4 linked regions of the Rattus norvegicus genome follow. The protein of the gene in region 2 purifies or fractionates together with the protein of the main gene of each other region. This does not show direct contact. Links are inferred from orthologs where the notes say so. Each region holds a gene or a part of one and is shown on either strand. Other genes may lie near its edges.

Region 1 (3,516 bases), on a different chromosome or scaffold from region 2:
AGGGCGGCCGCCAGTATCTGTGTCTTAATTATTAATGCTGTGTACTTACTAGGCAGGAACATAGGTTTAAATCTTGATGCCAGTTTTTAATAACTGAAGAACAGTTCTGAAACCTGTCAAACCTTGTCTGGGCTACAGATAACCACATATCTGCAAGAGAATACCTTATAACTGAATTTTTTTTTTTTTTTGAGGAGAAATAATTTTTATTCTCATGAAGGCAAGGGAAAGACTGAACCTCATGTTTAAATAGAGAAAAATCAAATTAAAATAATGTATATTATCACCCTATATCTGTGTGCGTTCTTCATTCTTATTGAAGAAAAGAAATTTCCAATTAATTCTTACTTCTGAAAAGTAAAGCTAAAATACTGGTGGATGTGTTTTTATGCATATTTTTCAGTTCACTGGGTCTGCCTGAGTAAAATCCTGATTTCTTAAGGAGACGTAAAAGAAAGGAGATATGTGTGTGGGAGGGTGGGGGTTGGGGGAATGTATGTGAGATTCTTTTAAAACATATTTCTACTGCAGCCTAAAGCAAGCTGGTGATCAAGTGGTTCTTAGTGGTAGAGCAAATCTGAGGGTGCTAAGAATGACTAAAGTATTAGCACCTTGGGTCTCAGGTTATAGGAAGGTCAACCTATAGGTATTCAAATAGCTGTGTTTTTTTTCTTATTTACACTTAAAAGTACAAGACAAAAGAGAATCAAGCCAGAAGTACAAAAAATGTCTTTAGTTTGCAGTATTTCCATCTAGATACTACATGAAAGGCCAGAGTTCTCTTCTCTCCCCTCCTTCTTCTCCCAGGGATTTGCATTATCGTGTGTAGTCAGCAAGTGCTTAGTAGATTAGCTTGTTGTAAAATGCACATTTTGATTAACATGCTTGCTGTGCTGCTAGCACTGGCTTCTTCTCAGTCTCTCTCTGTCTCTCATTTTCCTGACCCTGCCTGTGGGGAGAGCAGTGAGAACCAGATACAAAGTTTGTGGGTAATAGGATAAAATAAGAAATGGCATATTAGGGCTGGAGAGATGGCTCAGTGGTTAAGAGCACTGACTGCTCTTCCTGAGGTCCTGAGTTCAATTCCCAGCAACCACATGGTGGCTCACAACCATCTGTAAAGAGATCTGATGCCCTCTTCTGGTGTGTCTGAAGACAGCTACAGTGTACTCATATATAATAAATGAATAAAAAAAAAAAGAAATGGCATATTAAAGTGACTGTTTGTTTTAAATACAAGTTTACAAAGTTGATCTCCTCTGGTGCTGAACCTGGAATTCTAAACACCTGTCCATCATCTAACCAAGCAAGAAATCTTGAAAAGTTTGAAAAGCCAGAAAAAGATATTGAAGTCCAGTTGATGCACGAACCCTCAGTCAATGGACCCTCAACCCCAGGTAAGCACAGTGAAGGGCCTCAGGTTTGAAATGTGCAGTTGGAAAGGTCCCTGGCTTTTCTGCTTTTAAGGGATGAACAGAACAACCATGGGCCAGATAACACCAAAGGAATGCGTTATAGACCGCTGAGCTTCTTGTTAGAAGGCACGAGAGTTTGTTAAATCCATCAACCCTGATTTCATCGTTTGACATGAGCCTCTCTCTCAGTCTAATATACAAGGGCTTGGTTTAACTCCGCGTGCATAATGAAGAAAGGCTTTTTGGAAGGGCTTGAATTCTGTAGAAAATTTGTATTAGGTTTTATAGTTAGAGTTTATGCTGTAGACACATAAGACCCAGTTGCATTTAAGGGAGCTCAGCTGGCCTCTAAGAGAAGATGTCTAAGAGAGGCTTTGCCAGTGGCGCTGCTTCAAGCCTGCGTCCCTCCTGTTTGTTTTCAGTCGTCCTGGTTTATCTGGTTTGTGCTGCAACTTGTCACAGACATCTTTTATAAGGGAAAATGGTTCAGGGATTCTTCAAGATTAATCCCTCTGTCATGTGTTACGACATTAGACAGTTGGCAGTTTATATATACAGATAAATGACTGTTAGAAATAATGTCATAGAAAGTTTCTAAAATTTGGACTCCAGACAGTGGGTTTTTCTAAATGTCATAGGAACACTGTTCTTTTTGCAGTTTCCCAAGTCTTTCTTTACCAAATCTTATTTAGAAATGCTTGATGTCTTTTAGTCCAAGCTAACTATCAATATTTTCTCCATTTGTTCTAGTACCAAAGGCAGCCTCCTCCGTCACTGCTGGAGTAGCCAGTTCACTCTCAGAAAAAATAGTCGACACCCTTGGGAACAGTCGGCCGGCCGCGCCACTTACCTCTGTCCAGATCCGCTTCATTCAGAACATGATACAAGAAACCCTGGATGACTTCAGGTAGCACTGAGACTGCTCACCTCAGTCACTCAGTTTGTCTCTACCTGGGTGAAACCAGAGCCAGAGCTCATCTTGGTAACTCACACGTGTCTAGGTTATGATGACCACAAAAACGGAAAACATGAGTTTTGATCTTTGTGTACTGTGGAAAGGCGCATTGCCAAGCCTGCAGTCTGGTGTGCAGCATGACCTTGTGGATTCTGAGTCTTCACATGTGGGCAGATGTTTACATACTCAAATGTCCTCTCACATCCAGTACTTAAAGACCACCTTTAAGTGCTCTACAGCAGGGCACGTGGGAAACAGACCTTTTGTGCTTGTTGTATATTTTGTGTGGGAGTAGGGCAGGGAGTATTTGCCTCTGCACCCACGTGGAGGTTGGGGTCAGATTGCAGCGTCAGTTCTGCTGCTGTCTGGGTTCTGGCGATGAAATTTCAGTCTTCAGGCTTGGCAGCGAGTGCCTGTAGCCAGTGCAGCCCCTCACCAGGCCCGAAAGGCACCTTTAAATGTACTTCTAAATGGTTTTACATGGGTGACTTCAGGATCTTACAGGTGTGTGTGTGTGTGTGTGTGTGTGTGTGTGTGAATCTTTCTGTAACTTGACTTTGTTCTTTCTATCATTTGAATTTTCATTATAAAGTTCTGTTTGATGACTGTTCCTCCTGTTGCCTTTAGGTATGGCACTAGGATTTTAGGTCATCATAAATTAAAATAGATTTTTTTCACTCAGAGAATATTAAGATATTGAGATTATCTGTATATTCTCTGAAATTTTCAGAATCAAACAAAAAATGTTAACATGTTCTAGAACATCACCACTTCATTTTCATGGCTATTTCAGGCCTTAGAAGTTATTTTCAGTTGCTAACTGTTTTATGAGATCCCCCCCCCTTCTAACTTATAATTACTGGGATTTTAATGAGAAGAAAATTGAAGATGTATAGTTTTTAACTGGTGCAAATTTTTTAATGTTTAAAATATTTAAAATACATTTTAAGTATTAGAGATTCTCTCTTTGAAAGATCATCTTTTTGGTAATTCTGGTGTACCTAGTTTATATGTATCAGATATTAATGCAGAAGTGGGAATCTTCCCACGGTGGCCATAGTTTCTTTAGAATAAGTACATCATATCCTGGAAGGACGTGTGTGTGTGTGTGTGTGTGTGTGTGTGTGTGTGTGTGTGTGTGTGTGT
Region 2 (3,962 bases):
AACATGTCATGACCCTTCAAGTCTTCTAAATGTTTAATTACTAGCCTTGTTTTTTGTTTTTTCCTATATGGAGTGATCTGGCAAGAGGGCTGTCTCCAGTTTGCGACCCGCCTGGGCTACACGAGTCTTGGGCCAGCCTTGGAACTCTAGTAAGATAATATGGTAATTTAAAAAACTACAGCTCCCTTTCCTTGGTCACTAACCAGTGATCAGGCTATGCAGTGGGGGGAAAAGGCTCAAAATTCTACAAGAAACACGACTTAGGATATTCGGGGTAAATGTAAGAGCTTCTCCTTTACGTCTTATTGCCTTAAGATTCAAAGTAATTTTTCTAAGACGTAAAACATTAGGACAGGAGAGATAGCTCAACAGTTAAGAGCACTAGATGGTCCCACAGAGGCCATGGGTTCACTTCCTAGCACCCACGTGGTCCCACGAGGTGGTTCACAATCATCAATTCCAGTTCCAGAGGATCAGACTCCCTCCTGATCTCCTCTCGCAAGTGGTGCACCTACATACGCATAGGCAAACCCACCATACACATAAAAATAAAAAAAAAAATAGGTACATCTAAAACACCAAGATTTTTCTTTTCTTTTCTTTTAAAGAAAAGCAGCGCGTCTAGAATAAACCACAACTCCCAGCATGCTCCGGGGTGGGGTGGGGGAGCCGTTGCGGCCCCGCCTCATAGGAAAACCTCCACTTCTACACCGCCTCAATATTTCTGGCAACTACCGGTATTTCCGGCTCCTGTGCTCCTCCCTACTGCTAAAGCTGGAATAAAAAGTGGCGAACTATTATGCCTTTCTTGGCCTTCACGGTCGGACGAGAACCGATGGACAAAATAGAGCTTCATGATCTCACCTACAGCATTAATCCAAAGCCTCAACCCCAGCACCCACCCTCTAGCGGGCACTCAAGCGCTGTAGCGAGCCAGCTAACCGCCCGTGCCTTGGCGCTTGCGCAGACATTCTGCCCGCACGCGGCCGGGAGCGGCCACGCTAGTGCGCAAGCGCTTGCGTCCCCCCACCCATCATGCTCTCTCTAGCTAGCTTGCCGTGCCTTTCTTGCGTAGAGGGCGGGGCTAATACCTACGATTGGCCTATGTTTATGCCAATCAATGAAATGGGCTTAGTGATTGGCGGTACTTCAGAGGTTAGCATGTTTCTGTGTCAGTCCTGAGGAGGCAGCGTTTCCTTCGCTGCTCTTCTCTCCAGAAGGTTCTGCCGATTTCCCCCAGCTCTGGAAAGTCGGCTCTTCGTCGTGCCGCCATGATGGGCCACCGTCCAGTGCTCGTGCTCAGTGAGTTCAGGGAAGCGATGGCTCCCTCCGCCCCTCTCTCCCCATGCTTGCCAGTGTTTCCCGGCCCCGTCCCGCCATGACTCGGCCCTCGTGCTTTCCAGTCGTCTTTTCGCCTTAGAACCTCCTTCCTTAGTTTTTCTCCTCCTGCCTTCTCCTGTCGCCCTCTTTTGACAAAATGACTTTCTGCTCTCGGAGTCGCTAGTTTTTAACGTGTGCTTTATCCCATTTGTGTTCCGTTCTTTAGTCGCCACCCTCCACGCCCCCGTGTCCTTTACAGCATGATTTCCGTCTGGTAGTTAGTAATAGTGGTTCTTAACGTTAGGCCTTGCTTCGTATCCTCGGTCCATCCCTTAGGAGAGGCGTGACTTACGGCAACTCGCTTGATTTATGCTTTAATAACAGTGTTTAGGAGACCGTAGTACTTCTCCAAAGAATTATGAGTTAAGTTGGTAAGTAAAGCTTCCTTTACCGGCAGATCGGAAATGGCATCTTTTCAGTAGCGGTCATTCAGCAACCCTTGTTCTGAAATGACATTCCTTGCGTTCCCGATCTTGAATGTGATCTTTCCCACCAGCCAGTTAAGTTCTCCCAGATTCCTCTCCTGTTTTCTTTAACTAACGCCTCTCATCTCAGTAAAGAGCACCAGTTCCTTGTCAGTTACCCGAGCTATTGAGAATAATTCAGTAAACCGGGTTCAAAGTTAAGACATACTAAAGAGAAAAACATGTAGTATGGCCACACTGAGAGGAGAGACAAAGGGGTTCAGTGACACTACCCCTCCTACCAACACTTAGATGAACGAATCTATGGGGTTTTAATTAGCAGACCAGAGGCATAAGGAGTCATCGTTTTCTGCTCTAGTCTCCTGAGAAAGTTTACCTACAGGCTGGCTCTCCAGGCATCAACATCCCCTGGAACTGGAGTTATGGGCTGTTGTGACCACCATGGGGGGCTGGGAATTGAAGCTGAACCATCTTTCCAGCCTCACAAGCACACTTTCTTGGTCACTAATCTTTGAGACTCTGTAGCTCCTAATCCCACGGAGGTTGTAAGGGATGTGCACTCTGGGAAAAATCACCATCCTGCTGAGCCCCATTCAGGGACCTAAAGATATGAATCGCTGGAAGTGTGTGAGCATGCATACAAGGAAAGTATTGGTCAAGATTCTGAAGTTAAAGCATTTCAGGTTATCTCTTAATGTACTGGGGCTTCTCTTCATTCTGTGTGTCTTTTGCCTGCATGTATGTCAGTGTCTGCAGACACCAGAAGAGGACATCAGATCCCCTGGAAGTGTAGTTATAGATGGTTGTGAGCTTCCATGTTGATGCTGAAATAGAACCAGAGTTCTCTGCAAGAGCTTCCAATGCTTTTAACTACAGGGCCATCTCTCCAGCCCCTAAAGGTGCTTTTTGAGACAGGATCTCACTTTGTAACTCTGACTGGCCTGGAACTTTATAGACCGAGTTGAGTTGGTTCAGAAATTCATCTGCATCTCCAGTGCTCAGATTAAAGGCATATGCTACCATGCCCAGTCTTAAACCATTGTAATTGTAACTGCTGGTTATACACTGAAACCTTTGTATTTTTGTTTTCAAAACTTGATAAATAAGGTTGGTGGTAGGATCCCTAAGCAGGTTTAAAAAGAAAAAAAGCACCAAGCCTAATAATAACTGGAGGTCTTTTTATTATGGTTTGTTTGTTTCGTTTGAGACAGGTTCTCTATGTAAACCAGGCTGGCTTCCAAGTCACAGAGATCCTCCTGACTCTGCCTTATAAGTGCTGGGGTCAGAGACATGCGCCACCATACCTGACTTAGATGACCAAGTTTAATCCCTGGCACTTATATGATAGAAAGAGAATTTAGTCCTGAAAGTTGTCTTCTGACCTCCAAAGTTGTGCTACGCATTGTACACTTGATATGTACATATATACATTAAAAAATGTAAACATTTTCTTTAAGTTAGGAAATAAAATGATTGTGTACACTGGGCTATTGACACGTGTTTTTGTCTGTTTTAGGTCAGAATACAAAGCGTGAGTCTGGAAGAAAAGTTCAATCTGGAAATATCAATGCTGCAAAGGTAACACATGTTTTAAGTGATAATAGCAGTTCATTCTGGATGACTCCCTAATATTTCAAATATTACAAATCTTCATTATTTGTAATAGCAAACTTCCTATGGTTCTGTACAGTTGAACAGAGGAAAACGCATGTTTCCCTGACAGTGATACAGGAAGGGAGGTTTTTAAAGATTTACTTATTTATTCATTGTTTGAGTGTTTTGCCTCCAAGTATGTGTACGTGTACCATGTGCATGCCTGATGCACAAGAAGCCTAGAAGAGGTTGTCAGATCCCCCTGGAACTGGAGTTCCAGGCTGTTATGAAAGTTACTATGTGAGTGGTAGGACTTCTGAAAGAGCCTAGGTCCTCTGAAAGAACCCTGTCCCCTCTTTGGAGACAGGATCTTGTCGGGGTTGCCTAGAATTTTCTATGCACGCCAGACTATCTTTGGACTCAGATCTGCTTGCCTTTGTCTCCCAAATCCTGGAACTAAAATCATGTGCCAGCACACTTTCAAACTCATAAATATATTTTTAAGTGAATGATTGAAAGACTTGATTTCATGTGGCTTAGAGACCACTGTCAGTAAAAATATTA
Region 3 (3,516 bases), on a different chromosome or scaffold from region 2:
AGTCCAGCTGGGGTCTGGATGATGGAGGTGGCTGTCCCCCTCCCAGCCCATCCAGCTTGCTGCAGCTTGTTACTTCTCTCTCAGGCTGAGATCGTGAAGCGCCTCAGTGCAATCTGTGCCCAGATGGTCCCATTCCTCACTCAGGAGGTAAGTGCATAGAGCCTTGGGGGCAGGGAGGGCGTCCCAGGCCTGGGGAGACACCGGCTGGGGTGAGGACCAGGGGACTTTCTGCCCTTCCTATGTTCATGTGTGCACTCATAACTAGGCCAGAAGTCAGCCTCAGTGTGCCTCCCGAGGTGCCATCCACCTTCATTTGCTTTTATTACACTTTTATGCACTTATTTAATTTTATATGTATGGGTGTTTTGTCTGCGTAGCTGTACACCATGTGTGCAGTACCCGCAGAGGCCGGAAGAGTGCACTGTGTCCTCTGGAATTGGAGTTGTGACGGCTTGTGAGCCAGGAATCGAACCCTGTTCCTTTGAGAGAGCAACCAGAGCTCTTAGCCACTGAGCCAACCTATAATTTATTTTTTGGGAGGAGGTACAAGGGCCATAGCACACATATGGAGGTCAGAGGTCAACTTGCAGGAACTGGCCCTCTCCTCTCACTCTGTGGCTTGTTGTTGGCTAGGCCACAATGCTTTCACATGCTCACACACCTTGCTATCCCGTCCTTTAACTAGGCAGGGACTCTGACTGGCCTGGAACTTTGCCAAGTTGGCAATGCTGTCCAGTCAGTGAGTCCCAGGATCTTCCTGTCTCCTCACAGGTGCTAGAATTATAGACACACACTACCATGCCTGGCTTTCTTCAGGGTTTCTGGAGAATCAAACTCAGGTCCCTATGCTTGCATGACAAGTACTTTACTGATTCAGCCATTTCTCTAAGCCTGGCTCTCTGCTCTCGATGGTGCTAGCTAGGGGTGCCCCTGTACCCATGGCTTACATCTTGTAGCCTCCTGCAGCCAGGGCTGCTGGTACAAGGCCTGGCTTTGTGCTCTTGGGCAAGATACATGCCTCTCTGTGCTTATGTCCTGGTTAGGGTATCCTGAGAGTTAGGTGAGCAATTATGGGACTAATCTTACAGGGTGATGCTTGGTGAGTTGGGCCACACACGGGACAATATGCAGGTTTCCTTTCCCAAGGACTCTGAAATTATCAGATCCAGGGCCAGGAAGTGGGGGGTTGGGAAGTTCCAGAGGTGGGTGGTGGGGAAGGCCACACAGCCCTGTGAATGAGTTTCATGTCACTGAGCCTGAGCCGGTCGTGTGCTTGAAATGGCTCTGATTAGCAAGTTTTGTTAGGCATTTTTAGGACAGTGATTTTGAAAACACAGAATCAGCACAGGCAGAGGCTAAACATCAGAAAACTTTGTGTGAGCAATTCCTCACTCCTGCTGACCACAGGACCTTGGTGTTAGCCATTCCCACTTCTATGTGATGTTCCTCCAGAGACACGGCAGGTCCCACCTCAGGGTGGGCATGCTGGGTGCCCCACATGGCCAGAATCCTCAGCTTTCTTCTGTGGGACCTGCTGCCTTTCCCCTGAGAGTGGGTGACAGATCATATCACAGTGAGGCCAGCTACCAACCTGAGTAGAGCCACCAGACATGTGTGTTCAAATTTATTGACTCCATCCATATTTAATGTTGTGCTGGGGATATACACGCTGGGTGGGTCTTCCCCTGACCTGTATGCCCAGCCCCAGGTTGCACATTCTGAGGTGGGTGCTTAGTATGTGGGTACTTGGCATGTAGGTACTTAGTATGTGGGTACTTGGCATGTAGGTGCTCGGTATGTGGGCACTTGGCATGTAGGTGCTTGGTATGTGAGCACTTGGCATGTAGGTGCTTGGTATGTGAGCACTTGGCATGTAGGTGCTTGGTATGTGAGCACTTGGCATGTAGGTGCTTGGAATGCAGGTATTTTATTTTGTATGTGAGTGGTTATTCATTACACTGTCTATGCGGACAGACCGTGGTGTTACATGGACCTCCTAGCAAGTGGTTAGAGGCTGGAACACTGCCCAGCAGCCTTCAGGGTCCAGTAAGCTCCACAAAGCACTGGAACTGTGGCCCCAGGGCCTGGGGAAGAGGCCAGGTCTCTGAACTGTCAGTTAAACAGTCAGAGAGGGGCTGGGGAAGGTGGCCCACAAGCATGAGGACCTGAGTTCAAATCTCCAGCAACCAGAAGAACCAACCAGGTGTGGTGTTTCTCCTCTGTAACTGCAGCAGGGGAGACAGGGACAGGAGATCCTGGGGTTACTGGACAGATTACAGCTGGGCCGGGAGACCCACCGCAAAATAAGGTGGGAGATGGCAGTAGCACCCGCCGTGTCTCCACACGCAGAGGCACACATAGACAGACAGACAAACAGACAGACTGCACGGCCTGCTGCTCAGTGCCTGCCTTCCGCTTCCCCACTAGCATCAGCAGCAGGTGCTCCAGGCTGTGGACCGAGCCAAGCAGGTGACCGTGGGGGAACTGAACAACCTCTTGGGGGTGAGTCACCCCAGCCCATAATTGGAGACACCCTGCTCCCAGCCCAGGCACCCAGTGGGTACAGCATTCACCCTCCGTGTACCCTGTCCCCGCCACCCGCCTCCCCCTGGCAATCCTCTCCCCCTTCAGCAGCAGAATCAGCTCCAGCCGCTGTCCCATGCACCCCCTGTGCCTCTCACCCCACGCCCAGCTGGCCTGGTGGGTGCCGGGGCCACTGGGCTGCTGGCCCTCTCTGGGGCGCTGGCTGCGCAGGCCCAGCTGGTGGCTGCTGTTAAGGAAGACCGTGTGGGTGTGGACACCGAGGGGTCCAGAGGTGAGTTAGCAACTCAGCGCTGGCGGGAGGGGGACAGCTAGTAGGGCTGCAGCTGTGGGGTTCGATTTTCATGCTGTTTGTCCTTGGGAACACACTAGCTGTCTCTGCAGAGGCATCTCCCTGGGATGTGGGAGGTCAGGCTCTGACCAGGAAGGAGCTGTTTCACTCGCCGAAGCCTTGCATGGTTACAAACCCCTAATCATGTTTCCTTCTGGCTTCCTGCGTCTGCAGTGGACAGAGCTGCCAGCAGGGTGAGTGCCAGCCATGAGAACTTGCTTGTCTTTAAGTAGGCTAGGGGACTGGGGGTGCTGCCTGTCCCCAGCCTTCACCACCTGGGCGCTGTGAGGACACCAGTGCCACCACATCCAGTGTACAGGGCCTGGTGAACGAGATGTGAGCTGTTACTTTATGAACAGGGCCTCACTCACAGAGATCCTCCTGCTTCTTGGATTGTGACATTAGAACCGCCAAGCCAGCTGTGGTGTATTTAATTTGAGGCATGGCCTTGTTTTATAGCCCATACTGCATTGAATTTAGGACAATTCTTCTGCCTCAGTGTCTTAAATTCTGCTATAATGGGTGTACGCCAGCAAGACCTGCTTGGCTCCTCATGCAGACAGACGTTTTGCTTAGCTGAGAGCTCCCATCCCCCACTCTCAAGGGGTTGGCCATGGATTTTCCGTGGATTACAGGTCTCTCTG
Region 4 (3,516 bases), on a different chromosome or scaffold from region 2:
TCACAGCAGTTCCTTCTGTCTTGGGTTCAAATAAATGCTGGGGTTACAGGCAAGAGACCGCTGGATAGAAAGGTCATAGGTACTTGCTTGTTTGTGGCAGAGAAGATTGACCCAAGGGCCTCATGCTGGCCAGACAGGTCTTCTACCACTGCAGTGTGCCCACAGCCCTCGCTTTGCTTTTTAAGTGTTCATTTGTGTGTTTGCTGAGGATGCGGCCTGCTCAGTAGAGAACCTGTCTCACAAACATAAAGCCCTTGGTTCCTTTCCCGGCAAAACAGGCTGTGATGACACACACCTGTGACCCTGTCCTCTGGAGGTGGAGGCAGGAGGATCAGAAGTTCAGGGCCAGGTACTGGAGAGATGGCTCAGTGGTTAAGAGCACTGACTGCTCTTCCAGAGGTCCTGAGTTCAATTCCCAGCAACCACATGGTGGCTCACAACCATCTGTAAAGAGATCTGACGCCCTCCTCTGGTGTGTCTGAAGACAGTGACAGTGTAGTTATATAGAATAAATAAATTAAAAAAAAGAAGTTCAGGGCCAGTCTGGGATCTAGGAAATCCTGTCTGGGGGCAAATATCTGGGGTGGTGCTACAGGTAGAGATGTTAGATTTCTAGAGCCATACACTGGAAGGAAAGAACCTATTCATCACTTGAGGTCGTCCTCTGGCTTCCACATGGTGCAGTGCTGTCTGAGCACACACATGCATGGTATTTCAGATGTCCTTGCAGCTTTGCACTTTTATTTATTTTTGCATTGCCGACGATCGGACTCAGGGCCTTGCGAGTGGCAGGCAATCAATGTTGCCGCTGTGCTAAATCCCTAGGGCCTGGTAATTTTTATAAGGGATAGAATGCCACAGACCCTGATTGGTTCTTTGTCTTTAGATTAGGGTATTATTTGTATCTTCCACAAGTGTTTAAAAGAATTCTGAATCTGCTGCCTTTGGTGGCCCGGCCTGACAGTAGTGCCTGAGTTGAATGCTAGAACAGTAAGGGTTCTGTTCTTTGTGCCCCACCTGCTTTCTCCTACCTCCTAAGTTAGTCTCCCACTGTCGCAGCTCCCCTCAGGCAGTGTACAAGTTTTTGCCTGCTTTCCCCCGCCAGTGACTCCAGCGTTCCCACATCTCTGTCCAGGTTCCTGTCCTGCGAATGGTAGAGGGTGACACCATCTATGATTACTGCTGGTATTCTCTGATGTCCTCCACCCAGCCAGACACCTCCTAGTAAGTGGTAGTGTCTCTCACTGTGCACTTCACTGTGGTCCCCATCATCCCCTTACCCAGCCCACACATCCAGTTTCAAGAAGGGCTACCAGGAAGGAGGGAGGGAGGGAGGAAAGGAGAGAGAAGGTGCTAAGAGTGTCCTTCTGACAGAAGCTGAGAGGGCTGGGCACTTGGCTTCCCTTTGACAGTCAGAGCCAGGTCTGAGTGACTGTGTTTCTCTTAGTGTGGCCAGCAGCAGCCGGGAGAACCCAATTCACATCTGGGATGCATTCACTGGAGAACTCCGGGCTTCCTTTCGCGCTTACAACCACCTGGTACTGACTCCCCTGCCCGGCACTGTGCTCCCTGTGGCCTGGCCCTCCTTCCTGGAAGAGAACTGAAGCTTTGCAGACCTTTTCCAGCCCTCTCTTGCCCCTAGGACGAGTTGACAGCGGCCCACTCACTCTGTTTCTCCCCGGATGGTTCCCAACTCTTTTGTGGCTTCAACCGGACTGTGCGTGTCTTTTCCACATCCAGGCCTGGCAGAGACTGTGAGGTGCGAACCACATTTGGTAAGCCTCCAAGGTGGGGGAGATGAGAGAGTCTTTCCTGGGAGGGGGCCTTGAGTGAGCTGGGGCACCTGTGGGAACCTGGGAGGCACGTGCCAGCTCCAGAGAGACAGAAGCCTCCGAGCATGGAGGAGACTCCTCAGGCTCTTGTGTTAGACAAGCATTGTACCACTGAACTTTAGAAAGGTGAAAGCGAAGGGGAGTCCCGTTCCCTGTAGGCCTTTAGTTCTCTATCCCTTCCAGGGAGAAGTTGGGTGTGAGAGGGAAGAGGGATGCTAAGTTCATTTGGGAACTGAGTGATCTGGGAACCATTAGAGATCTTTAGATTGCTTTCGACAGTCAGTGGGGGAATGAGTCCCAGTACGCACGTCAGTCCAGGGCAGGTGGAGGTCTGTAGCTAGTTAATGTCCTGTGCTAACTGTTTCCTTGTTTTCTCCCCAGCCAAAAAGCAGGGCCAGAGTGGCATCATCTCCTGTCTAGCCTTTAGTCCAGCCCAGCCCCTCTATGCCTGTGGCTCCTATGGCCGCACCCTGGGCCTGTATGCCTGGGATGATGGTTCACCTCTTGCCTTGCTGGGGGGCCATCAAGGAGGTATCACCCACCTTTGCTTTCACCCTGATGGCAACCTCTTCTTCTCAGGAGCCCGAAAGGTACTGGACAGGGCCCAAAGCACATGGGTAGTCAGGAGTGGGATGTCATTTGTTACGTGTTGAGACGTGCCAAGTACGAGGGATTCGGGGAGGCCGAGGTGGAGTCAGAGGAGAGGCTGACTCCAGACGCCTGTTCTTGTCCTCAGGATGCTGAACTTCTGTGCTGGGATCTCCGGCAGCCGGGCCACCTCCTGTGGTCTCTGAGTCGGGAAGTGACCACCAATCAGCGCATCTACTTTGATCTGGACCCGTAAGTGGTTGTGGCCCCTCCCAGGCTCAAGTAAGACTGTCAGAGTCTTGCCGCACCTGGATATGAATGGCCTCTACCCCACGGGCGGTGCCAGTGTAGCACAAGTCTCCTTCTTTCCCAGGAGCGGGCAGTTCCTAGTGAGTGGCAACACCAGTGGAGTTGTCTCCGTGTGGGACATCAGTGGAGCGTTCAGTGACTGCAAGCAGCTGGAGCCAGTGATGACTTTTCTGCCCCAGGACGACTGCACCAATGGAGTCAGGTCCTCAGTTCACTGAAGGAGCTTGGGGCCAGGGTTTGGGAGGAAGGTGGATCTCTCGGGGATTGTCCTGACCTAGGTGCTGACAGACTGCTCTCTTCTCCAGCCTTCACCCTACCTTGCCTCTGCTGGCCACTGCTTCTGGCCAGCGCATGTTTCCAGAGCCCACCAATAGCGGGGATGAAGGTGAGCCGGAGCTGGACCTTCCCCTGCTCTCCCTGCGCCACGCCCATCCTGAATGTCAGCTACAGCTCTGGTGGTGTGGAGGGGGACCTGACCCCAGTAACCCTGATGAGGACCAGGATGAGAAGGGACAAGGAAGGACAGAGGCTGTCGGAATGAGTTAATATAAAGACTTTGTATCACACTGGAGTCATTGTGTCTGTTTGGGGCGGCACGTGACTGGTGGGAGTTTGGTAGGGGCGGCAGTAGGTTCCTTTGTCCAGCATCTGTGGGGTCTGGCACATTGTTCCCAAAACCAGGGGCTGAGAGGTGGGACCAGGCAGGAGCCAATGAGGGGCTGAGCATGGTGTGAAGTCAAGCAGGTGGGGGTGGGGTCTCGTGCCATTGACTGTGTGGTTGCTAGGC

The links.
Region 1: the proteins of Cct3 (region 2) and Nedd1 purify together in Homo sapiens (affinity purification with mass spectrometry; 3 studies listed by BioGRID and IntAct, with this or other methods). This does not show direct contact. The link is inferred for Rattus norvegicus from reciprocal best matches to the Homo sapiens genes CCT3 and NEDD1.
Region 3: the proteins of Cct3 (region 2) and Tle2 purify together in Homo sapiens (affinity purification with mass spectrometry; 3 studies listed by BioGRID and IntAct, with this or other methods). This does not show direct contact. The link is inferred for Rattus norvegicus from reciprocal best matches to the Homo sapiens genes CCT3 and TLE2.
Region 4: the proteins of Cct3 (region 2) and Wrap53 purify together in Homo sapiens (co-immunoprecipitation; 3 studies listed by BioGRID and IntAct, with this or other methods). This does not show direct contact. The link is inferred for Rattus norvegicus from reciprocal best matches to the Homo sapiens genes CCT3 and WRAP53.

The regions. Positions count from the first base shown.
Region 1 is NC_086025.1:29,123,635-29,127,150, reverse strand, and holds part of Nedd1 (protein NEDD1), read left to right. Parts: intron 1-1,240; coding exon 1,241-1,397; intron 1,398-2,165; coding exon 2,166-2,322; intron 2,323-2,969; exon of another isoform or gene 2,970-3,112; intron 3,113-3,516. UniProt on the Homo sapiens protein: Required for mitosis progression. Promotes the nucleation of microtubules from the spindle.
Region 2 is NC_086020.1:176,062,368-176,066,329, forward strand, and holds the start of Cct3 (T-complex protein 1 subunit gamma), read left to right. Parts: upstream 1-1,161; 5' UTR 1,162-1,271; coding exon 1,272-1,302; intron 1,303-3,321; coding exon 3,322-3,383; intron 3,384-3,962. UniProt on the Homo sapiens protein: Component of the chaperonin-containing T-complex (TRiC), a molecular chaperone complex that assists the folding of actin, tubulin and other proteins upon ATP hydrolysis.
Region 3 is NC_086025.1:8,779,494-8,783,009, reverse strand, and holds part of Tle2 (transducin-like enhancer protein 2), read left to right. Parts: intron 1-84; coding exon 85-147; intron 148-2,427; coding exon 2,428-2,502; intron 2,503-2,631; coding exon 2,632-2,815; intron 2,816-3,046; coding exon 3,047-3,066; intron 3,067-3,516.
Region 4 is NC_086028.1:54,780,652-54,784,167, reverse strand, and holds the end of Wrap53 (telomerase Cajal body protein 1), read left to right. Parts: intron 1-1,105; exon of another isoform or gene 1,106-1,135; coding exon 1,136-1,224; intron 1,225-1,447; coding exon 1,448-1,538; intron 1,539-1,642; coding exon 1,643-1,775; intron 1,776-2,213; coding exon 2,214-2,422; intron 2,423-2,568; coding exon 2,569-2,672; intron 2,673-2,793; coding exon 2,794-2,931; intron 2,932-3,034; coding exon 3,035-3,275; 3' UTR 3,276-3,293; downstream 3,294-3,516. UniProt on the Homo sapiens protein: RNA chaperone that plays a key role in telomere maintenance and RNA localization to Cajal bodies. Specifically recognizes and binds the Cajal body box (CAB box) present in both small Cajal body RNAs (scaRNAs) and telomerase RNA template component (TERC).